Linked DNA regions of Drosophila melanogaster. The protein of the gene in region 3 interacts with the protein of the main gene of each other region in a pairwise test. Each region holds a gene or a part of one and is shown on either strand. Other genes may lie near its edges.

Region 1 (5,001 bases), on a different chromosome or scaffold from region 3:
TGGCGATGGTTATGGCGAAAGCGATCGCGTTCGCGTAATCATAAAATCACCTTTTGTGCGCGGGCCTTCGATTGTTTTACAACATGTTTTGTCTTACGGACATTAAGGGGTTTTTTGTTTGCAAACGAACCCGAACCAGTTTTTGGTAGTTCAGCGTTAATAAGTGAGTATTGAGTACCTCCCTCGCGAGGCCAACTGCCCGGTGTGCTTCTGTTCCCGTGTTCCGCCGAGTCCTTTTCGGGGATATGTCGGTTATCCTCCATTGTGTCAGCTGCATTCACTTCTAATTATTTGACGCGACATTTGCAGTTTGCAGTTTTACGATCCCATACCGAGCATCGAACATCGCGGCAATCAATGAATTTATTTTTTACAGATTTAGAGAGGATTTCTGGAATCTCGGGATTACTCAATCGGCGCGAGCTTAGCGTTCTTTTTAGGGATTACAATTGGGAGTAGCTGTGTGGTATCGAAATTCTTGCGAAAAATTAATAAGAATGGTGTTAGCTGACCTGGAATTTGTGAGGCAGGAATATGTTTAACCAACTATACCTTATTCCAATGAATATATTATATTCCTTTGTGTAAGGAAAAATTATAGTCAGATAGTTTGAAAATAATTGGACAATGATTTCACATTCTAATCTTAGGGTATATTACATGTATAGTTTTATAATTAATGCCACAATATGAATATTTGGAATTTGTTATATTGCCAATATATTATAATAATTAGGCGCGTTTGCAATCTTATGATCACACGCGTGTCTGTCATAAATTATAAATAAATCAATTTATTTATTATTATTCAAATTGCGTTCAATTATTAGTTTTTATGTTAGTGAGGAGGTTTTGTAAATGGGTTTATTGATATTATTAATTCTTTACCGTATTGGGCCAATTTTGCCTTTTGCTTCACGAAATGGGTAACACTTTTGCTAAAGTCGTTATGAAATAATAATCGATATTTCAATTCCACCCATTTGTTAAACTTCCAGCGAAGTTTGATCGAAAATAAGTTCTCATGGGAATTTAAATTGATTAGTCATATTTTTGGTAATGAAGCTGGAAACTTTCGATTTACATTAAATGATAGATCCGTCAAAAGATCACCTCATTTTTAGTACCATCTTTTTTTTTTACATAAGCCCCTTGTATCACATCTTGCACCTTATCAATGCCAGACTTCTTCCGCTATATTTGAGTTCCCTGCGAATTTTTATCGCTGCTTACATGTCAATTATGGCATTAGCTTTACAACTAGAACCGAACAATAGTGCTTTGACAATATCGAGGCGCCCATATAAACAGCGATTGCTTGGCAAACACCAAAAGTCTGGACATCAAGTGTGTGCAGATCAAACACGGTATATGGATATGGAGAATAAAATCCGGAGGATAAAACATTGATTATTCCCCAGATAGAGGTACATATATCGCGACTATTACGACCGTGGCAACATAATTTTACAGCCACTAATTGCATAATACACACGCATCTCCGCAATTACTTAATTAGCCAACGGCAATTGCAATTAAAGTACATACAAATCGAAAGCGGGCCATAAAGGAAAAGGGGTTTTCTTGGCCAAGATATTACGACAAACTGCATACCTGGCTCAATGGGGCGTGGCCACCTGCCTGCCAGCCATCGCAGACCGGTGCGAAAGAGACGGAGCACCAGACAGACGGAGATAGCGGTAGTCAAGCACTCAGGCCATCTTGAATTTCGACCGAGCAACGGAAATGAGGGTTAAAAACGCCCAAGTAAAGGCACTGCTCGTGCGCTAGAAAGAGACAACTAGTGAGTGCCGACTGCGGTGGTTGTTTTTTTTGAGCCTCTCTGCCTGTTTATCTGATTTTCCACTGCTTTGAGTTTTTTATCAGTCGAGTCTTGCTCTACGTTTCAGTACGTGTTCGACCTGCATACTGAGTTGACGTCGCCACGCACGGAATAACATTTCAAATTAGTAGATTAGCCCTGCAAAACAAAAATCCATCTCGTGAGTGAGTGCTGAAAAATAGCGTTTCGAAATATTATCGATATCTCGGTCGTATGTTACTGTGCTCCCAAAAAACACATCACCAGCCAGTGATAACTGTAAAGATTGACAAAGCAAAATATATCCATTATAACCCAAACTGAAACTCCAGAAAATGTGCAACTAAAACATATTGGCCATCAAAGTGATAAGACTTAGAGATTAACGCCGGATTATTGGACACCGGACCGAGCACTGGGACTATCTTCGGAGAAAGCGCACCTAATCTAACCTCAAAATGGTTTCGCACTACTACAACACACTGCCCTACACACAAAAGCACAGTGCCGCCAATTTGGCCTATGCCTCAGCGGCGGGCCAGCCATGGAACTGGACGCCCAACTACCACCACACGCCGCCGAACCACCAGTTCCTGGGCGATGTGGACTCCTCGCATGCCGCCCACCACGCGGCCGCTGCCCACCAGATGTACTACAACTCCCATCACATGTTCCACTCGGCGGCGGCGGCCTCTGCCGGGGAGTGGCACTCACCCGCCTCGAGCACGGCGGATAACTTCGTTCAGAATGTGCCCACGTCGGCCCACCAGCTGATGCAGCAGCACCACCATCATCACGCCCATGCCTCCAGCAGTTCCGCCAGTTCCGGGAGCAGCAGTAGCGGTGGTGCACCGGGTGCGCCCCAGCTCAACGAGACCAACAGCAGCATCGGCGTCGGAGGAGCAGGCGGTGGCGGTGGTGTTGGCGGGGCCACCGATGGAGGACCAGGTTCCGCACCACCCAACCATCAGCAGCACATCGCCGAAGGTCTGCCGTCGCCACCGATTACCGTTTCGGGCTCGGAAATCTCTAGCCCGGGGGCGCCGACTTCTGCCTCGTCGCCGCATCATCACTTGGCACACCATTTGAGTGCCGTCGCCAACAACAACAACAACAACAACAACAACAACAATAGCCCATCCACCCATAACAACAACAACAATAACAATTCGGTGAGCAACAACAACAGGACATCGCCATCGAAGCCGCCATACTTCGACTGGATGAAGAAGCCCGCCTATCCAGCACAACCACAACCAGGTGAGTCCTTAGAGACCCAAGAATATATTAAATACAGATTTAGTGTTTTATGAGGGGGTATGATCGGTTACTTCATAACTTTATGAGTAAGGCTAATAACCTGCTTTTACTGCAAAGTTAAGGTCTATGCTTGCCATTGTCACTAGCTTGTATGAGTTTTTTTTTTTTAATCGAATGTGAAATAAGATCTTACTCACCGAAGGCTTTTAGTCCGAAAGACCTCGATTACCCGAATTTTTGTGTATTCAGCTACTTAGTCATTCCACTGACCTTCGATTCCGCGTACCCTGCGCTTGGGTTTCTCCCGCATCCGCCTGGCTACATTCCGAACCCGAAGATTCCATATTGCCCAGCACATAATGCACTGCATTGTCTTCCCGCCAAGCTCGTGCTGTTCGCGCTTTTCCCTGTCCATCTCTCACGGTACATATATGGGCTTTTATAAGAATCCGTTTGCCTGGCGCGCATCCAAGTCCAAATGGCCAATTAGCTCATAAAAATCAAATTCTGTTCAAGCTTCACTTTTATGATATTCAGTTGGGGTCGCGAGATCCCCGATCCGACGCCTTGATTTATGGCCACCCCGTGTTCACCGTCCACATGAGTGTTTCTGTTTGTTTGCTCCACTCTGTCTCCGTCTCGATTCCGATTCCATTGACTAATTTTGTATCGTAAATCAACTTAACAACTATAAGCATTTGAAAATGGTTTGATCAACTTACCAATAACCAGACAGCATTTGATGGAAAGTCCATCAGAGTAGAGGACTGGACTGTAAAGGCTTAGGAAAGTTAGGGAGTTCGGAACCTATTTCACAGCAATTAGCATTATGTGGAGTGTCTAATTGAAGGTTTCACTATTTTCTAAAAATAGTGAATATTCTGAATAATAAGTGAATAATACCCAATTCGACTCTCTTCTCTCAGTTCATGCAAATTTTCTGTGATTATGTGGATTTCTTGCGTTTTGTTTGCTGTGTTTTCCTACACCTCTGGAAAAACAAGCAAAGGCAATTCAGATGGCAGTGCAGCGATCTCAAACATGAGAAGGAATAAACCACTCACACATTTGTTCACGATTTATGACCCGGGCGCATGTCAAGAAGGGGAAAATGAAGACGACGATATCGACGATATCGACAATAACGCCGATATCCATTAAGCCCATAAAATCTGTTGGCATGCAATTAGCGTTTATGGCCGCTAATCCAGCTGATCAAGCCGACAAGGCGACTCAAGTTTGCCTTATTTATTATTATTCAAAACCCCCTTTAGCCTCCGCTGTCTGAATGTCACCTTTCTGACGCGCGACTGATTGTAATTCTTGCCGTATTTCATTTGCCTAAAAAGCACAAATATTTAAGTAAGAATAAATATTATATAAAAATAAAGTTAGATATTATTTACAGCCACTATGAGCGATCAGCAGCACCTTTTGCCAACACTTTGCTCAGGTATTATCTCTCTGGCATTTTCTTTGAATTGATGGTCTCGCCAAATCGAGTAATAATTAGTAATCTGCCTTTTCCAACAGAAGAGAAGAGGGGGGCTGTGACTAACACTTCGTGATTTTTGATAGAATTATAAAAGGTCCATTTTCCGTTGTCTGCGCGGCATGTGGCGGCATGTGGCGGCAGGGCACGTCGAAGGCCCACTTCAGCTTTCGGGGTGTGGCAATAAAACGGCAACCACGATTGTCGCTGGATGCAGATGCCGTGTACTTTTGTTTCAATGGCTGGTGGTTCGGGCGGGTTTTTCGATTAGATTAGCTAGCGTGGGGAATCAAATAAACGCCCGCCCTGTCAATAAGTCCTGAAAACCCCACCCAACCCATGGGGCTGCGAGTTCTATTTTCTGTTGCTTCAATAATGTGCCGAGTGATATGGAAACGTGGCCACAAAAAAAAAAAAAAAAAGAGTT
Region 2 (8,073 bases), about 20 Mb from region 3:
CACGATATGGAATTAGTTGATCCCAAGCCGAAAGTGCCTGGCAGCCAGGAAACACTTTTACGCCCACGCACGCCTTATCCCGAGAGCAGTAATTCTAGCACACCGCAGACAATAAAAAAGACGCCTATACGAAACTTTTCATACGAGTCTGCCATGGACCATGACCATCTGGAGAGGACTTCTCCCGAACTGGTCTCTAGTCTGGACACAGTGGAGGAAGTACCTACGGCCAAAATTCACGTGAACACACCAACACCGCCCACGGAAGACGATGAGCACCTGGCCGTGGAAATAACCACAACGAAGGACTCAACGGACAGCAGCAAAGTGATCAACGAAATACGGTTCATAAACGACGGAGTGGATGTGACGTCCAGGGTAGAGGAACAAATGCCAGATACACCACTGGAGAGCTCCGTGGAGGATCTGGAATCAGATGGAGAGCAAAAAATGCAGCGTGGTGAGGAGCAAGTTGACAAAATTGTGACGAGCTCTGAGGAGGCGGTGTCCAAAGTCGGCGAAGACGCGATAGATGTCATGGACTCCACTCGTAACTCGATTCAAACAGCGGTAAAAAATGCAGCAAATGGAGCTCGTGATGCCATGGAAGCTGTAGGCGAGCGAATGGCTACTGGAGCTCGAGGAGCCGTGGATACCGTGGGAGGAGCAGTAGGAGCGGCGGGTAAAGGTGCCCATCGGTTGGCCAGCGATGCAATGCACGCAGTGGAACAAGTAGGAAGTAGTGCAATGCATGCAGTGGAGCAGGCGGGCAGTAATGCGGTCAAAGCAGCCTCGGAAACAAAAGATTCGATGGGCAGGGCTATGGATTCGGTGACCAGCAAGATCTCTACTGAAGTACTGGGCGCCAAGGAAAACATCTCCTCATTGTTTCAGATAAAAGCGGCGAGGGAGGCTGATCCACAGACCACGCCATGTTCCACACCTCGCGGCGAGGATGACTTGTCCTTCAAAGAGGGGGCACCAAAGACCACCACAACGTTGGGTTCCAACGAGGAGGATGAACGAACAACGGCCTCTGTAAACTCAAACCACAATTCTGCAGGACATGGCAATGGTAATGGCAACATCTTCGAGCCAAGCACTACCTTTGAAGACCCTCTAGATGCAGTGGTGGAGCGCAGTAAGAAGGCGATGCAGGATGACATTCGGGCCATGCAACTGAGGGCAAATTCCCATATTCAAGCTGTGGCCCAGCAGAAGGAGGAAGATGCTAAGGGATTCGTGAAGCAGGTGATGGACAGGCTCTCGTGCCGTAACGAAAAAGCGGTCAGGATCGAAGGTACCTTTCAGTATAGTCCTTCAGTATATACTTACCTAAATTCTGCTTACCTTCCAAATAGATGAACTGCGTCCGCCGGCTGGAAGTCACAACAAAAACACAAACAAAGTTAACAGCGAGCTGAGTTTAACCAATGGGCAGGCACATGGTGATCAGTCGCAGGCTTCGCGGGTCTGCACGATTTTATAAAACTTGCACCTGCACTTTTCTGAGCAATTGCATTTGGTCTTTAAGTACAATTTAATAAAAAATAATGCAAACGAAATTCCTATACAAAAGTTCTGCACCGGGCAGTGTGACCGTACTGTGGCGGGAGGAAAACCTCTCAAAAACGAAAGAAAACTTACATATTCCTATGTGAATGACTTCAGTGGAACTAGCTCATTTAGCATAGAGATGGCAATTCGATATTCACGAGAAGTCACATTAGAAAATGATTTTATATTAATATGGTGGGAAAAAAAATAATTATAAAGATGTGCTGGCCTAAATAAATCTGAGAATTTTCCCAAATTTGATCTCTTATACCAACTTTCCCATTGAGTTCGGGGCAGTCATCGTGATTCCTTCACACTCGTGATCAGTAACAGGTCCCCCATAGCTATCGCCCATCCCCAATTGGCACTAGTTCATTCGCGTCTATTTTGTACGCGAAACAGTAAAAAAAAGAAAAGAAATATTTGTACTATTTTTCTAACGTTTATACGCTTTTTATAAATGAAGAACCAGCCACAGATAATGCTGTGAGGACCCGATTCTGATAGGCGAGAGCAATACGCGAACACCCTCCGAAAGGCCCATATCCCCCAAAAAACCGAATCGAGTGCGAAAAATGATGTAAAACGGGGGAAATCTAAACCTGAAAGGCCCCACACAGCACAGCCACAAAATGGAAAGGTAGGTCAATGTGTGGGCGCCCGAAAAGAGTTCAAGTGTGTCACTCAGTATACCCAATTCCGTCTGGAATCATTTGGCAAAAATAGCGTTTATAGACGTGTGAAAAACAATGGACATTTTCGAGCGGAGAGCTCCAAAATTAAAAGTATCCTAACCTCAAAAGAGCTTTTACACAGTACGTGTACGTGTGTGCGCTAGTGATGTCCATACGTGTGTGCGACTGAAAGTGGTTGTGACTTTTAGCTGAAGAAGGGAGCGCGAGGGGCGATCTAGAGGCAACGTGTTAGTGGAAAAACTGCTTTTGAAAAAAGGGGAAAATATCCCCCAAAAAGCCCGCCCAAAAAAGGTCAGTTCGGAATCCTGTCGATCTCGCCTCCGTTGAGATTGTTATCCAATTGGTAAAGTTATCACTAAGTTCTTAAGTTGCCAGAAAAACACATGTAATTTGGCGAGAAAGTAACACGCTGTCAATTCAACACAAAAAGAGAGATACCTGAGTGCTCCATGTGTGTGCGTGTTGTGTTGGCCTCAGTGTCTATCTTGTCTGGTGGGTGAGCAGGGGGCGGGTCAGGTAACTTGTCCGGCGAACGTAAAAACCAGCGTTCAAAAAATATATTAAAAGTTACATGCATGCAAGCAGCGCGCGTTTTATTTTGTTTCAAAATGCATAATCAATCGTATGTTTAATAATTTATGCTCTTTGACGTATATTCGAAGTTTTCATACCATCGAAGTCATAAAAATCTTTTAAGGATTCGGTCATCCGTTATGGATCTTATTTAAAAATTACTCATCACAGTTTGTTTGTGAGTTTAATATTAGTATGGCTCTTTAATAAATGTTATAAAGCCCGAAAATATTTACTCTCGCAAGAATATTGCTTTGAACGCTTAATACGTTAATCATTATACCTGAATGATTTAAAACATAGTTTCACACCGTAAAGTAAGCCAGTTACCTCCTTACAAACATGTATGGATATGTAAGCCGTGTAGTTCCAAATACTTATTTATGTAGAGAGGCTTGCCTAAAGGAGACGAAGGAGTAATATGCTAGTTAGGACACAAAATGGGCTTCAATGCGTTTCACTAATAAGGGCACACAAAGAACCATAGGAACCATATGGAAAGGGGGCTTCAAGGGGAGGAAGTGGAGCTGGAGCCGGGAGCCCAGCTATCAAAGTGTGTCAGCTATTGAATAATTTAGATTTATAATTTCGCAGTTAGGTATTTCGTATGTTTTGGGAATTCCTCACATATTTTTGCATACCAAAAAGCCAAGCCGCCGACTCAACTAATCCCAATCTCCCTTCTCCAAACACAGGCACTAGCAGCAACAACATCAGAGAAGCGCCCAAGATGAGCATGTCGTGGCATTTTTGAAGCATCGATCTTAGTTTGTTAGCCAGCTTTCTGTTCAAGTCACCGAGGTACCGCAGTCTCCCTCCACTATTCCACCAGATTCAAATCCAGCTTCGAATCCCGAATCCAGACTACCTAATCCCAGCAAGAGCAGTCCATGATGCATATCAAAAGCCTGCCCCATGCCCATGCCGCTGCTACGGCGATGAGCAGTAACTGCGACATTGTCATAGTGGCCGCCCAGCCCCAAACCACCATAGCAAACAATAATAACAATGAGACGGTCACCCAGGCCACGCATCCGGCTCACATGGCGGCGGTTCAACAGCAGCAGCAACAACAACAGCAACAGCAGCAGCAACATCATCAGCAGCAGCAACAGCAGTCGAGCGGACCACCCTCTGTGCCGCCGCCACCCACGGAACTCCCCTTGCCCTTCCAGATGCACTTAAGCGGGATCTCGGCGGAGGCGCATAGTGCCGCCCAAGCAGCGGCTATGGCAGCTGCCCAAGCTGCAGCAGCCCAAGCTGCTGCGGCGGAACAACAGCAACCGCCGCCACCAACTTCACATCTGACGCACCTGACCACGCATAGTCCGACAACGATCCACAGTGAGCATTACCTGGCCAATGGACATAGCGAGCATCCCGGAGAGGGCAACGCTGCCGTTGGCGTAGGGGGAGCTGTCCGCGAGCCGGAGAAACCTTTCCACTGCACCGTCTGCGATCGTCGCTTTCGACAGCTAAGCACACTGACCAACCATGTAAAGATCCATACTGGCGAGAAGCCCTACAAATGCAACGTTTGTGATAAGACCTTCCGTCAATCGTCGACGCTGACGAACCATCTGAAGATCCATACGGGCGAGAAGCCTTATAACTGCAACTTTTGTCCCAAGCATTTTCGACAACTGAGCACGCTGGCCAACCATGTGAAGATCCACACGGGTGAGTGATGAAGTGTGCTACCATACAATTTTGACCGAAACTGATTTGTGTCTTATTCTTTAGGTGAAAAGCCTTTTGAGTGTGTCATCTGCAAGAAGCAGTTCCGACAGTCCAGCACGCTCAACAACCACATAAAAATACACGTCATGGACAAAGTCTACGTTCCTGTTAAGATCAAAACAGAGGAGGATGAGGGGTGACTAGGACGAATGCCGTTGGCGGCGCACCACCATCAGCAGCAGCAACACCAGCACCACCATCAACAGCAGCAGCATCAGCACCACCCGCCGCCTCCGTCCCAGCAGCAGCAGCAGCATATCGATCAGCGTGGAGTCACCATAACCACGTTGCCCTCCGCCACGACAGTGGCCCAACATCACCAGCAGCATCAGCACATTCAGGATGGCTCGCCGCACCATCATTTTAATGTGGCCGCTCTAGGGGACTTATCCAGCGCTATGCAATTGGGCGCTGTGACGGCGGACGGGAGCTTTGTGACCATGGGCGGTGTTGTGGTGGGTCGCATCCAGCACACACGAGAGGAACTGCAGCAGCTTGGAGTGATCAAGGTGGAGTCACCATCGAATGGTGGCACAGCCACGACGTCAGCGACGGCGGAAACGCAACGCGAGGGATGAGTCGATGAGCTGCTCCTCGAGTACATGCTCAAGGAGGAGAATGCGGATGAAGAGGATGAACAGGAGCATGAGTCGGAAGTGGATGCGGATGTAGTGGAAATTCAGGAGCAGAAAGAGGAGCAGCGATCGAGCCAGAAGTGAGCCATGTTTGGTGTGTACGCTTACGTTGTTGTTAGTTGTTTAATTGTAGCGAACATTGTTGTTGTTGTTAAGGTTTAAATGTGTGACTAAGAACTTACCAAGATGATTGTATAGCAAACGCTTCAAAAGTAGGTAAACGAAAGGCGCCGACACCAGCACCCAGAGCTCCCAAAAAAATAACACAAACCGTAAACAAAAACAGAAACAAAAATACTAAAATAATAGTAAAGCTAAACTAAAAACCAGATGAAAGACCTTTGCAGAGAGTTGTCTCTATAGCAGCGCACCCCATCTCACATTCACAACCCTCTCAGCCCCGGAAATAGATTAAACCCCTCTCTACTCACTTATAAAATAACCTAACCCTAACTAGAGTGAAAATAGTTTGCTAATAGCAAGAGCAAACTAAACCCAAAAGGCAAAAAGCATTACGTGTACGAAGAACTTAATTAAAATATTTCCCAAAGTGCAACCCGTTTCAGATTGTAAATTGTTGACCCGACTCACTTTTAAGTTGTTTAATTTAGCATTTAAAGCTTAAGAAAAATTGTTGTACAACTCAAAGTTGGTGACGTTTTTCGCCATCTTGCAAGGGCGTGTTTTAGTCTGGGCTAACACAAATACAATTTGTTTATAAAATCAATAGCTTAATTATTTAACTTCGTAAACTTGTCAGCAAAACTTAAAAAAATATCCTGAACAGAAAACGGCAAAGAAAAATATTCTAATAGTGTTAAGTGGTCGAAACTATCTAATTAGCTCTTAGTCCCTAGAGAGCCATAGTTTTTAAATCAGCGTTTTGTTAATTTTAATTGATTAGTCTTAGTAGTTTTAATTTCAGCATTGGCATAATTTGGAAACACAAAAGCTGTCACGCTAGCCTTCGTTTAAATATTAGTTAATGAAGTAAACACAAAGTAACGCTAATTAATTCATAACTAATTACGATTATGAGATAGTAAAGCAACAAGTTCTGTACAAAGCCCAACTCCAATTTGTATGTATAAAGCGAAAGCGAAAGAGTTTAACTAAATTGTAAACGAAAACCTTTTTAAAAGAGAAAATAATATTTTCTAAAAATACAACATGTGACTTTTTATGTTAGCCCTTTAATTTATGTATGTTACCCTTGGTTTCCTCACATCCCGACTGTCCTTTGTTTCAAACGCCGGTCGCCTTTAAATACCTTTAAAAACTGCAGCAAGGGTCAAACCGAAAAGACTCCTGTATCAAGTTCCTATAGAATTCAAAGCGCAACAAACACGGATGTCCCCAAATGTATACGAATCAATTGCAAGCCGGGAAGTGGAGACACATTCAAAGAAACCTAGCCTATATGGAATGAATATTAAATAAATGTTGATAAATGTGTAGTGTTAAACAAATTAAAGACAAGACAGCAGAAACAAAAAACCGAAATCCCAACCTAGTAGAGCAATGATAAGAGCAACGCTTGAATCCGTGCTATGTTTTTCAAGGCCCTGAATGCAGATCCTCGCCAGGATCTAAGATCCCTAGAGAATTTGAAAGGTCGCTCTAAAATGAATGCTTAATATTTGATGCAGATCGGATTCTGCTCTTTGTAACATCTGAGCTCTGCACCCAGCTTTTCTAACCCTCCCCAGCGTATGCATATACTTAATATAAAAATGACGTAGTGAGATTAGCATTTAAGCGCCTACTTTAATGATAGTTGAGTGTGTAAAATGTAAACTGCAAAGAATTTAGACATACAATGAACAAAGACAAGACACGTTAGGCAAATCGAGATGGCAGAAGGATGAGGAACTGCAAAAAAACCAACAAGCAAAAGGCTTAAAAACAAATCGCGATAATATTATGTAATTATACACATATATATTTATTAATGTATGTATGTACATGCGCAGTAGCTGTATTTATATGTAAATGTGTACGTAATTGTGTATTTAGTTACAGCATAAATATATATTTGCAATGGAGAAATACAGAAACGGAATTTATGACAAACGGTAACGAATCAAATGCATTCTTATTTGAAACCATTTAGATAAATACTAATTAACGGGCTTAAAATAATTAAGTTTGAACTTTCGGTATGAAATTCCTTAAATTTAATGGAGCCTTAGATATATTTTCGTATTTGGGCCCTCATATGCCTCCCAATAAGGAGGAAGACGCAGAGTCTACTGGAGACATGGACTCTTCATAGCTCAGAAAGTTGTTCAGATAGGTTAACCAGTCCGACACATCGACCTCCTTGTAAACTTCGTTTTGAAGGAGTTGTCGCAAAACTCTCATTTGTCTCACATCCTCGCCATAGCGCACACACATCTTGGCCATATTGATACTGGCCACCGGCAGGTTCACCTTTTCCCGACCTGTAATTACTTTGGTGCTCATGCGCTCCTTCCAGGTGTGTACCTCCTCCTCCAACGCATCGAGCCTGAACACCTTCGGCGCCTCGCGCACAACTCTTCCCACAGGACTGATCCTCGCAGTCAACGGCTGCACGAGCTCCTTACTCATTAGGTACTTCCAAAAGCCTCCAAGATTTAACCACTTGTCATAGTCTTTTAAGGCGCTAAGGAGTAATGCTAGGTAATCCTCACGCGACAACTGCTCGTCATCGTCATCCTCAATCTCACTTTTAAGATTGTACTTTACCCATTGACGCGCTCTAAATTCTCCGACCACCTTTTCCGGTCCAAAATGAGTTTTTTTGGGAAAGAAAAAGAGCTTCAAAAAGTGGTCTGTGAACTCGAAGCGGAGATATGGGGGGTCCAACTGCCGAATAGCCATTAGGTAGG
Region 3 (5,740 bases):
GCAGCACAAGGCGAACGGCATCGATCCAATTCCAGGCCAGCTCCCAGCCAGGTAAGAATCTAGTCTTAGATCTGCTCAGTATCTATTTTTCAACCGCCTAGTCAAACAAAAATCCCTCTAATCCCCTTCCAAATTCGTACTTTTCAGTCCCGAGAACGAGCTGAAGCGGCGAAAACGCAACGAATACCAGGCCAGCCTGGAGCAGAAGGTCAACGACATGAAGCGGAAGCAGCGGGAGAACGAGGACAAACAGCTGGCGGCAAAGAAACGAAGGTCATTACTCACATATATTGCCGCTGGTGTTGTGGTGGGCGTGATCTGCGCCTACGCATACACGAAGCTAGGTTAAGTGCCCCGTAGCCACTAAGTAGTCGTAGATCAGTAGTAGCAATAGCTGTATGACGTATTTAGTTGCCGTAGGAGACCGATTCCTCCCCTGATACCCGATTTCCGACTTCCGATCCCCACCTGCTCGTCCGCCTGACCCGGCATCTAATGCGGGCAACGAATCAAGGACGACGTGCAACGGATCGGAAAGGATCAGAGATCGGACGGAATCGCATCGCAACGCCATGCAATCGCACACGAATTGCGGATGGCGGATTGATTGAGCTGAACGAACGATACAAGATGCATAAATATTAGGGAATTTTTTATATACGAAATACAAGAAGGAAAACAAAAGAAACAAATGAAAGAAAAGAAGCAACTAAACTAAACTAACGAAAATCGGGTAGAAATCACGTCAAATGTAGATTTTGCGCAATAGACTGACATTTTAGATCAAATTTATTTTCTACACTCTAAAAATGGATTGATAACCGACCAGATGCCCCAAACGAGCCATACCAAATGCAAAGCTCACCCTACTTGCTCGCTATGCTTAAAATATTAAGAATATCATAACTACCAATGTTTCAAGCACCCGACAACCACCCACTACACGCTTCACTTGTTGTTGTACAGCAATTTCTTATAGCATACGACCTATGTATATTTATTTATGAAGATTATGAGAAACCACCACTTGTTGTAGTACATGGCAAAATATAAAGTGCAGCAATGTGCCAAAAAGAACCGAATCGGAGAATTGTACGAAGTGTCCTAAACGACTCTTAATTTTACTTTGCCTCCCGCCTACCACTACCACTAACTTTGAATTGTTGTGTTTAAAATTAAAGACCCTGTCCCCCCTTAAACGAGCACTTTATTAATGAATCGAAATTCAGCGCCATTAAAGCAATAACTTACGGTTAAACAAAACAGCTCGATGTACACCTATATCTCGTTTAACGCTTTTAAGGAGTGTTATAATCAAAATTGTTCATTTCGCACACTCGCCCCCGATCGATCTGAAATCAAAATAAAGTGATTCTTTTTTCAAATTGTGACCGTGGACTAGTTGCACGTGGCTAGTTGCAAATCAAATTAAACTAAAATCGGTTTACTAAGTCGCTAAGCGAAGTATAGGTGTATGATTTAATTATAATCCAGGTTTTGCCATAGCGAAACCATTTTGTATTAGAACGAGAGAACGAAGAAGGCGAAAGACTATTCAATGGTTTTTCCAGTAGAGTAAGTGTGCAGTCCCAATCCCAAGAAACATATTTATATAAACGTGTAGCGTGAGAGGACGCAAATATTTTTTATATGTGTAACCCACACTTTAACAAAATTCAAGTAACCACCCCCGAAAGCGAGGCACTATGAATCCATATGAAATCGGATGGGCCCAGGAGGATAACAAATAAAGGAAATACATATTTATATTAAGTATATTTAACAGAAACAACATGAACAATACCTAGTAATGCCTAGTTAACTAAACGTCGGCTAAGTACACCAACCGTACACTGAAACAAATCCAACACAACACAGTACTATACAATATTATGCCTATGAGAGAAAGAGAAAGGAGGAGCAGAGAAAGTATTCAAATAAAGCTATACGTTTAAGACATGAAAACTGCGAACCGCTTGATCCTGGCGCATTCCCTTGCCATGTCCTTGTCATTCATAACATTTTTCATCTCTTTGTTTGCAGGCGCGGGAACCGACTCAAAAAATCCAAGACAAAGTAACGGCACAGCCCATCCAGGTCAGCACCAACACAAAGAAACAAACTAAACATATCATTTTGCATTACTGTAGCTTCTAATGCCTAAATAAACTATTTTTAAATTGGAAACCAAGTTCAGAGTTATCGATTATATATCGACACGCAAAGCTGTTGCATAACGCGACGTGAGCATTAACAGAATGTTAATGTAACTTAGTGTGACCGGAATGCGCAATATACTGCTTTGGTAATATTTTTTAAAGTTGCTACTGCCATTATAGGTAGTTTAAAAACTGTTTTCTACACTCTTTCTAAATTTGATGCAAAAATTATTAAGATTAAGATTCGTTCTGCGAACGTTCTGCAGTTGCTTCTTTTAACGTGCAACCATAATATATAAGCACACTATGTGGTATATTTTGGTGACTCGGTCTGGCAGCACTGCAGTTGATTAACATAGATAGCAGTGTTTGGTAACTGTAGCCCCGCAAAAAAAAAAACGTGCGCACGTTGTTTGATTTCTGTTTTTGTTTTTGCTGGAAAACTTAGTGAAAATATGACCAAGGTGCAAAAAGAGGTGCGATGCGACCATTGCGGCACAAGCCAAGGGTCCAAGAGTGTTTTTTCAGGTCAGAAGGTGTTCCTGGGCAGGAAAATAACAGACGTACTGGAGACCATCACCCACAGAAGCGTGAGTTGGAAATGGCGGCATTCTGATTTCCCTTCTCGTCATCTAAATCATCCCATCCCATTTCAGATCCCATCATCCTTGCCCATCAAGATATGCTTCGTCTGCACCTCCACATTCATGTCCAGCGCGGCACTAATCGAGAAGGTCCGCGAGACGGTGGACAGGGTACAGGAGCAGCCCGCCAAGAAGACTAAGGTAGCGGAAATAGAGGAGCCATCGACACAGGAAAGCGATAAGAAGGCGGTTAAGGTGCCAAAAAAGAACACCACCCTCCGTCAGCGCAGCAAGTCCATAGCAGCTTTCCCGCCAAGCTTTGTGAATGGAGCTAATACTAATACAGAAATCGAGATCATTAGTGCTTCGCCCAAGAAACTCGATAAGACCCCTAAAAAGCAGATATCTCGACTCTTCGAGGATAATCTTAACGATTCGGTTAAGCTGACGCCCGCCAAAGAGGTGTCGTCTACTAAAAAGGCTTTCCTTAATCTCTTTGGCAACGGCGGCAACGATGCCATCGAAGTACTGACCGAGAGCGAGGAAGAGGAGGACTCGGATAAAGGTCCTATCACCATTAACACAAATAACTTTCAGTGTCCAGAGTGCGAATTTCACGCAAAGTTTCCCAAACCGTACAAGGAGCATCTGCAGAAGGAGCACGGTCTTCAAAGACCACGCATATACCCCTGTACCTTGTGTATTAAGACTTTTGGAGTGCTTAAGACTTTGAAAAATCATTTAAGGGACACTCACTCACGCACTTTTGAAAGCGAGGCTAAGACTAAGGCGAAGGAAAGCAAGGAAAAAGAGGCTAAGTCAGGGGCCAAGAATAAAATTGACGCAAAGGCAAAGGAGACCAATGCTGTGAGTCAAAGGAAGAAGCCAAAAGAAAAAAAGTCCAAAGAGAAAAAGACAGAGATCAAATGTAATGTTGAAACCAAAGTGGTTGACGAAATCGACGACCAAGTGAACAACAAAAAGGGCACAGATAGTGAGGACGCAGACCAGACCCAGGCTACCAAAATCGCCTCCTTTAAAGCGCTAAATGAGTCATTAATGAAGAAAAGGATGTTAGAGAACGTGATCGACTCGGAATATACATTTGCCATCAATGGATCCAGCGCCTCCACTCCCAGGGCGGATTCGAATAATTTTCAGTGCGAGATCTGCGACTGTGAGCTGATGACCGCCAAGCAGATGCAGGAGCACATGAAGACCGTCCACAGCATCGACAAGCCAAAGGTTTTCAAGTGCCACGTCTGCGAGAAGAGTTTGGCTACCAAACAGTCGCTGAAAACGCACATGACTCTACATGCCGACGGTGCTGAAGCGCCGAACTCCAGCAAGCGAAAGATTCTGCAGGACGAGGATGAGGACGTAGACATTCTGGGTACGACTCAGATTGAAAACACGGCCGAGAAGGTTGAAGGACCTAAGAAATCACAACAAAGCCCTACTAAAGCCGCAAAGTTCACCAACCGAAAGATTCTGCAAGAAGAGGATGAGGTTGTGGAAATTGTGGACGCTTTTAAGACTGACAACACCGCGGAGGATGATGAAGGACCCGCAGAAGAAAAGATTATACGATCCAGGAACAACATTCAGCACCAGGTCGATGGAGGCATGATTGCACCTCGGTCGCCAGCTAAAAAGACAAAGAAGACCAGTCACGTAGATCTGTCTGTGTCCACAACCAATGGCAATTCGCCTGCAAAGTCAGAAAAACGAAAAAAACAAGACAAATCTGAGGACACGCTCCCCTCATCTGATGTAGACATAGTGGAAGAAATCAACTACAACGTGCGGCCGCACAAAAAGGCTCGCCTGGAGTCCATTGGTGACTCAACAGCCGACGAGTCGACCCTCAGCTGCGACCGGTGCGGGAAGTTCGTCAAATCGCGTCAACGCTTGGACTCGCACATGGAGAAAAAGCACGCCGCCAAACTACAGTGCACCCTATGCAAGGAAGTCTACCAGAACCAAATGGATTACGTGGCTCACTTCTCGAACTGTGGTTCCGAAGGTGGACTTCCATGCGGCGTAGCCAATTGCAAGAAGGTCTTCACGGAGGCCAACTTCCTATCCTCGCACCTGCGCAAGCGCCACTAGTTGCACTAGACTCCCTTTTATTTTTGTTTTTCATTTCATTCTCTTGACCAATGTAGTTTTACGTTAGCTTATTGCTATGTTAAGTATAATTCTTTGAATTTTCAATGGCTAACTTTGAAAGGGTCTATATAAAGTTGATAAAAGTCGATGAAAACTGCAATTTATAACAAGGTTACTTCATACATTTTTAACTATTATTAAGTTCAATTCAAAAGATAAGTTTAATTTGTATATTAAGACTTTATTATAACCGCATTGGTTACACCACTTGTACTCACCAAGAGTATATAAATTAGCTTGAATGTAATAAACATATTTGTACTGAGCGATGAACTGTTAATAAAAAATGGCAAAAAGCTACGAAATTGCTTGTTTCAATCAGTGGAGAGAAAAAATGACACAATATGAGTTCACTTATACATTTATTTGTCATATTCCCGAAACAAAAACAAAACTAAAATAACGTTTACGCGGAAACCAACCATTAACGATGCATTCGCCGGGGAGAGCAGAAGGATTGAATACAATACCGATGTTAAATCAGGGGAAGCATGAGTTCTCCACGGGAGTTCAACAACGAGGCGGAAATGAAAAACATTTTGTCTAGTTACACTTTTCTACTTAATGTAAACGATGATATTGATGACGGGCTCAAGACGACGCCACTTTGCCGTGAATCTCTGCCTGGGCCACCTTCATCACGTCGAGGGCGCCGCGCTTGATCAGGTCCTCCGCCAGCGTCTTGCCCAGCTGGTTGGCCTTCTCGTAGATGCCCCGACTGTGACAGGCGTGCTGGTAGAGACCGCAGAACAGGTTTTCCACATCCTCAATGAGCACCGAGTGCTGCGGCGTCGGCTGCTCCTCGTCGGCGTAGTCGAACATTTG
Region 4 (4,783 bases), 1.1 Mb from region 3:
ATTAACTTACAGCTTAAAGTCGTGCGCTGGAGACACAACAGGCTCGGGCAGAACATAGACGCATGGCTCAGGAAGGGAGTCTGGGTTAACGGGCACTTGCACACCCTTTTCCCATTCCTGCTTCCATGGGTCTGTTACTATTAAATACTCGTAGTTGGCCAACGGCTCAGAGTCTGGCAATTTCATTGCGCTAATGAGATCCTTGCTGCAATTAAAATTTGAATATTATTGAATCGTTTCTAATTGGTTTGCTGGTCTGTTAATACCGGTAAAGTTCAGCTGGAGCTTCCGTTGAGCTTCGATTGTAGATGCTCGACATCTTGATGTCCGCTACAGACCGCGCCTGCCAGGAGCTACTAGAACTCGCCCCCTGCGACTTGCACTTGCTTGCCGACTTTGCCAGTTTCGTTGACTTCGATTTGCTAGTGCTGGTAGCGCCTGCCGCGGCTCTTCCTTGTCCTCCTCCCCCCGCTTCCGCCCCTGGCTCTTCATGTTTGCTTTTGCACAAAGGCAGAACTGGCACACGCTCCGATCCTGTAGCTGGACCCGATCCAGTCACTTCAGCTACTGCTGCCGTAGTGGCTCCATTAGGTGGCCTACCTTTGCGCCGCTTGGTGGGCGGCGGCTGCGGCTCAACATCCTTGCGCTGATGCTGTTGCGGCGGCGGATGGTGCGACTGGTGATGCTGCTGATTACCGCGCTTACCTCTTTGTGACATTTTTCATTGGTGTTGATTGGATATTTGTGTGTTTTTGCTTCGATTGGTACCTTGTCCCTTGTGTCTTGTGCTTGTTAGAGAACGGGTTCTTTGCTGCAAGACCTAGAAGTAAGAAGGCAAAAGCAGCTTCAATACGTATTTCACGCGATTTATTTACTAACCAAATTTACTTACTACATGCTTAAGGCCACAGTTGGCGACACCACACCGGCTGCTGCTGCTGCGCTCTCCTGGATGTGGTGCGGTCGTGATTCTTGGTGGTCCACCCTTTGTGCCCCGTGGACATGGACGCCGCTGCTGCCCCAGCCCTAATATCCAGTAGCGACGCCACTTTGCAGTCCTGTGTGCTCCGCACTTCTCCACGGGCGAGTTAGTCCACTTCCACTGCCACCTTCCGCTTGCTGCCTTTTGTTATTGTTCGTTGTTTATCCACAGACTTTTGCAAGTTTTTCTTTGGCGTTTGGCTCACTGGTTTGGATTCTCGACGAGCATTCGCTAGTCTGGTGGGAGAGAAGGCATATGTTTGTGGGTTATTCGCTTATATTAGGAGCGTTCCCAGTAAGTGTCCACATTTTCTATGCTTTCCGAAAATACACAAAAAATATAGAAAAACGTTCAAGCTGCCAATAGGTGACTGGTGCAAAACCCACAGGCGCCCTCCCGCTCGCACATAGCACGCTCGTTTAAGGGCGCGCTTACTATGCGCGTGAGTGCAAGCAGGAGGCAAGCAGGTGGCGTTCGTGTTGCATCCGCCAGCTTATACACGGCACCCAGCATACCCCTCCGACACTTCACTACTCAGAAGCAATCAAAGTTTTTGCACTTTTTTTTACACTTTTATTATAACAACTTATTTGTTATTGCTATCCGCAAACCTAGACAGCCACTCTGCTCGTCGCTAGCGCTTCCGCACGCGACACGCCCACTCAGGGCGCCACTTTCGCACTGCCCATTCTTGGGGGAGTTGGGATTTTGTTATATATTTTACATTTGGGTTTTTTGCCGCCGCAGACACACACGCCAAGCACTTGTTACTGACCGAAGACCGCTCACAGTCTTCGCATTTCGTGAAGCGTCCGTATCAAACTCACGTTTCCCAAAATCGCATTTGCGTTCGCAGGAATTACAATTCTTTTGATTATTTATTTTATTTTTGAGCAAAAATTATTTTTCTCAGATCGCCATGATGAACGGTTGCAAATTTAAACTATCGAGTGCATTTAGTCGGTGGTCGGTATCGATACACAGCTTGGGTATATACAGAGTTGCATTCGGCCCAACGCTGTATTTTGTTTTAACAACATTTAATTAATTTCCACAGAATTTTCATATTAATTTGTATTTGAAAAAAAAAGTTATTTCCATTAAGTTAAGATATGTTAATTAAGAATTTTCTTATTATTACCTCTAAATATTATAGATTTTCTTAACTTAATAGAAGTTAATAATTATGTAACAAACAATGTCGAAATGATGAAATTACAATCTTTTTATTTTTTTAGAGAGGAATTTTTTATTCGTTAAAAAAAACCCGATAAGCTGAAAACAAACATCGCGATTGAAGATAAATATCGGTTAAAAATATGTTATTGTGATTACAGAGGAAAACTATCGACTGAGCGCACCCAGGAGCCCATCTCCAGCACCAACAAGAAAAAATATGTATATTTATAACTATATGTAAAAAGGAAAAAGTCGCGTCGCACAAAGGTAACGTGAATACTATTTAATCGGACCTCTGATGCAGCGATAAGCAGGCTTTTTTTCAACGGAGCCTCGCTAATTTGACCGCCCTCTGCCAGATTGTCTTTGTCTCTCTCGAAAAGTCGGTGGAACGGTGTTGTACTGGAATATTTGAAGAGTGGCTCATCAAACGCAACAAACATGTCAAACACTCCAAGTCTGAACAGTAGTAGTAGCAATATCAGTAGCAAGGCGCCCCTTGCCCAGAAGCAGGACACGTACAGTAGCGACAGCAGCGAGGAAGTTCTCGAAACAGCCGAGGAGCGGAGGAGGCGCATCCTGAAGGAGCGCAGCCGGCTGAACCGTCCGCAGCACAATATGTCAGGCGGAGGTGCTGTGCCCAAGCACGACATAAAATCCCCTTGCGGAGCATCTCCCAGCTGCCAGGCAACTGGTTCCGGAATGGGCCGCCTGCCGCTCCCTCCCGAAAGGATCACCATGCTGGTGGACGGTGTGCGCTTCACGGTGGAGCAATCACTGCTTACAGCACATCCCACCACAATGCTTGGCACGATGTTCGGCTCCGGCTTCCAGTTCGCTCATACCAACGAGCGCGGCGAGTACGACGTTGCCGACGGCATTTCGCACTTAGTGTTCAGAGCCATTCTGGAGTACTACAAAAGCGGTGTTATCCGCTGCCCGCCCACTGTTTCGGTACCGGAACTAAAAGAAGCCTGTGATTATCTGCTCATTCCCTTCGACGCAACCACGGTGCGCTGCCAGAACCTAAGTGAGTATAACGCGAACTATTCCTGCCAGGGCGAACCTTAGTTGTGGCCACCTCTGCTTGTTTTCCGTCTCTTTCCTTGTAACATGCCCTCTGTTATGTTTGACATAAAGGAGGCCTTCTCCACGAGCTTAGCAACGAAGGAGCGCGACAACAATTTGAACTCTTTCTTGAGGACCTAATTCTGCCCCTCATGGTGGCCTCGGCGCAGCGCGGGGATCGAGAGTGTCACGTTGTGGTGCTCCTTGAAGACGATATGGTCGAGTGGGATGAAGAGTTTCCGCCTCAGATGGGCGAGGAGTATTGTCAGAGTGAGTGTATTTAAAAAATGTGTTTGCATTAGTATCACGGAAGTGGAAGCAACACTAACATTTCTAACGCAGCCGTGCACAGCACTGCCATGCACCGATTCTTCAAGTACATCGAGAACCGCGATGTGGCCAAACAGGTGATGAAGGATCGCGGTCTGAAGAAGATACGCTGTGGCATAGAGGGATACCCCACCCACAAAGAGAAGATCCGAAGGCGTCCCGGTGGACGGGCTGAAGTCATCTACAGCTATGTGCAGCGACCTTTCATCCACATGTCCTGGGAGAAGGAGGAAGCAAAGAGTCGCCATGTTGATTTCCAATGTGTAAAATCCAAGTCTGTAACGAATCTAGCGGAAGCAAATGCAGATCCGCCACTGGAATTGGACGCAAGTGCGTAAGGCTCGAAACGGAGAGTAACAGCTCCCTTAAAGCCCAAATTCGTTTTCAGGTGGAAATCCGATTCCCCCTATAGCAGTGGCTAATCCGCATCCCAATAACGCTGAGCTCGCTGCCGGTATGGCCGTCGCACCCGCAGCTATAGGCGTGGCTGGTCCAGCAGTCGTGGTAGCCGTCGACGAGGCGGCCGGGGGCGTTGTAATGCTCAACGAGTTGGACCAGGCAGCGATCGCTGTTGCCGTCGGAATAGTTGATGAAAATATGTAGATCAACTGACCGGCTGGTAGTCGGAACACACTGCCAGAGCATCACAGCGCACAGAAAAACACTTTACGTTTTTAATTAACATTTTTATATGTATATGTAATAAATGGAAATTTCGAATACGAAAAACCAAGCAATTGATTTACGAATAGAAGAACATGAACGTTACCAGACATTAGCTGTGATCACGCTCCGTCAAAGGCCTCCCGTTCGCCCTGTGGAAGCGTCGAAGTCTCCCAGTTCAGTGAACGATCGATAGCCATTTTCCACTTTTGGTAGCGCAGGTTGCGATCGGTGGCACTGATCGATGGCTTTATGGCTTCTCGGGGGCCAGATTTAGAGAGTGGAGCCTCCATTTGGTATCGGTTTTCAACGGCTTTGTAGGCTGCCATTGCAGCTCCCTAAAGCATTTTTGAAGCATTATTGAAGCTGCATTTACATCACAAGTTAAAGTACTAACCAGCGCTGTTGTCTCTGCGATCTTCGCCCGGAGTACTTGAATTCCTACTAGGTCGGATTGAAGCTGCAGGAACAGATTATTCACAGTCATGCCCCCGTCTACCATAAGCTTGGCCAGTGGAATCTTGCAGTCCTTGTGCATCGAATCGAGAATATCACGGACCT

The links.
Region 1: the proteins of indra (region 3) and cad interact in a two-hybrid assay, tested with the Drosophila melanogaster proteins (one large-scale study listed by BioGRID).
Region 2: the proteins of indra (region 3) and Aef1 interact in a two-hybrid assay, tested with the Drosophila melanogaster proteins (one large-scale study listed by BioGRID).
Region 4: the proteins of indra (region 3) and mri interact in a two-hybrid assay, tested with the Drosophila melanogaster proteins (one large-scale study listed by BioGRID).

The regions. Positions count from the first base shown.
Region 1 is NT_033779.5:20,768,828-20,773,828, forward strand, and holds the start of cad (caudal), read left to right. Parts: upstream 1-1,903; 5' UTR 1,904-2,280; coding exon 2,281-3,082; intron 3,083-5,001. UniProt on the Drosophila melanogaster protein: Caudal (cad) is one of a number of transcription factors controlling segmentation of the embryo.
Region 2 is NT_037436.4:21,431,505-21,439,577, forward strand, and holds Aef1 (adult enhancer factor 1), read left to right. Parts: upstream 1-1,923; 5' UTR 1,924-2,197; intron 2,198-2,368; exon of another isoform or gene 2,369-2,543; intron 2,544-3,520; 5' UTR 3,521-3,715; coding exon 3,716-4,505; intron 4,506-4,568; coding exon 4,569-4,705; coding exon of another isoform or gene 4,706-5,143; 3' UTR 5,144-7,135; downstream 7,136-8,073. Other genes in the region: CG33288 (uncharacterized protein), read left to right, coding at 1-1,300, 1,362-1,489; CG5664 (uncharacterized protein), read right to left, coding at 7,415-8,073. UniProt on the Drosophila melanogaster protein: Transcriptional repressor that binds specifically to fat body-specific enhancers, namely the adult ADH enhancer (AAE) and the enhancer that controls yolk protein gene expression.
Region 3 is NT_037436.4:1,338,937-1,344,676, reverse strand, and holds indra (indra), read left to right. Parts: upstream 1-2,273; 5' UTR 2,274-2,285; coding exon 2,286-2,305; exon of another isoform or gene 2,306-2,607; coding exon 2,608-2,749; intron 2,750-2,815; coding exon 2,816-4,855; 3' UTR 4,856-5,217; downstream 5,218-5,740. Other genes in the region: Ptp61F (protein tyrosine phosphatase 61F), read left to right, coding at 1-51, 148-349; Hmbs (hydroxymethylbilane synthase), read right to left, coding at 5,507-5,740. UniProt on the Drosophila melanogaster protein: Required for rDNA copy number maintenance and non-random sister chromatid segregation (NRSS) following unequal sister chromatid exchange. Binds ribosomal DNA (rDNA) preferentially binding to intergenic spacers (IGS) regions on both X and Y chromosomes.
Region 4 is NT_037436.4:197,870-202,652, forward strand, and holds mri (mrityu), read left to right. Parts: upstream 1-2,304; 5' UTR 2,305-2,602; coding exon 2,603-3,191; intron 3,192-3,301; coding exon 3,302-3,499; intron 3,500-3,571; coding exon 3,572-3,889; intron 3,890-3,947; coding exon 3,948-4,162; 3' UTR 4,163-4,283; downstream 4,284-4,783. Other genes in the region: rno (rhinoceros), read right to left, coding at 11-205, 267-718; Gk1 (glycerol kinase 1), read right to left, coding at 4,345-4,560, 4,620-4,783.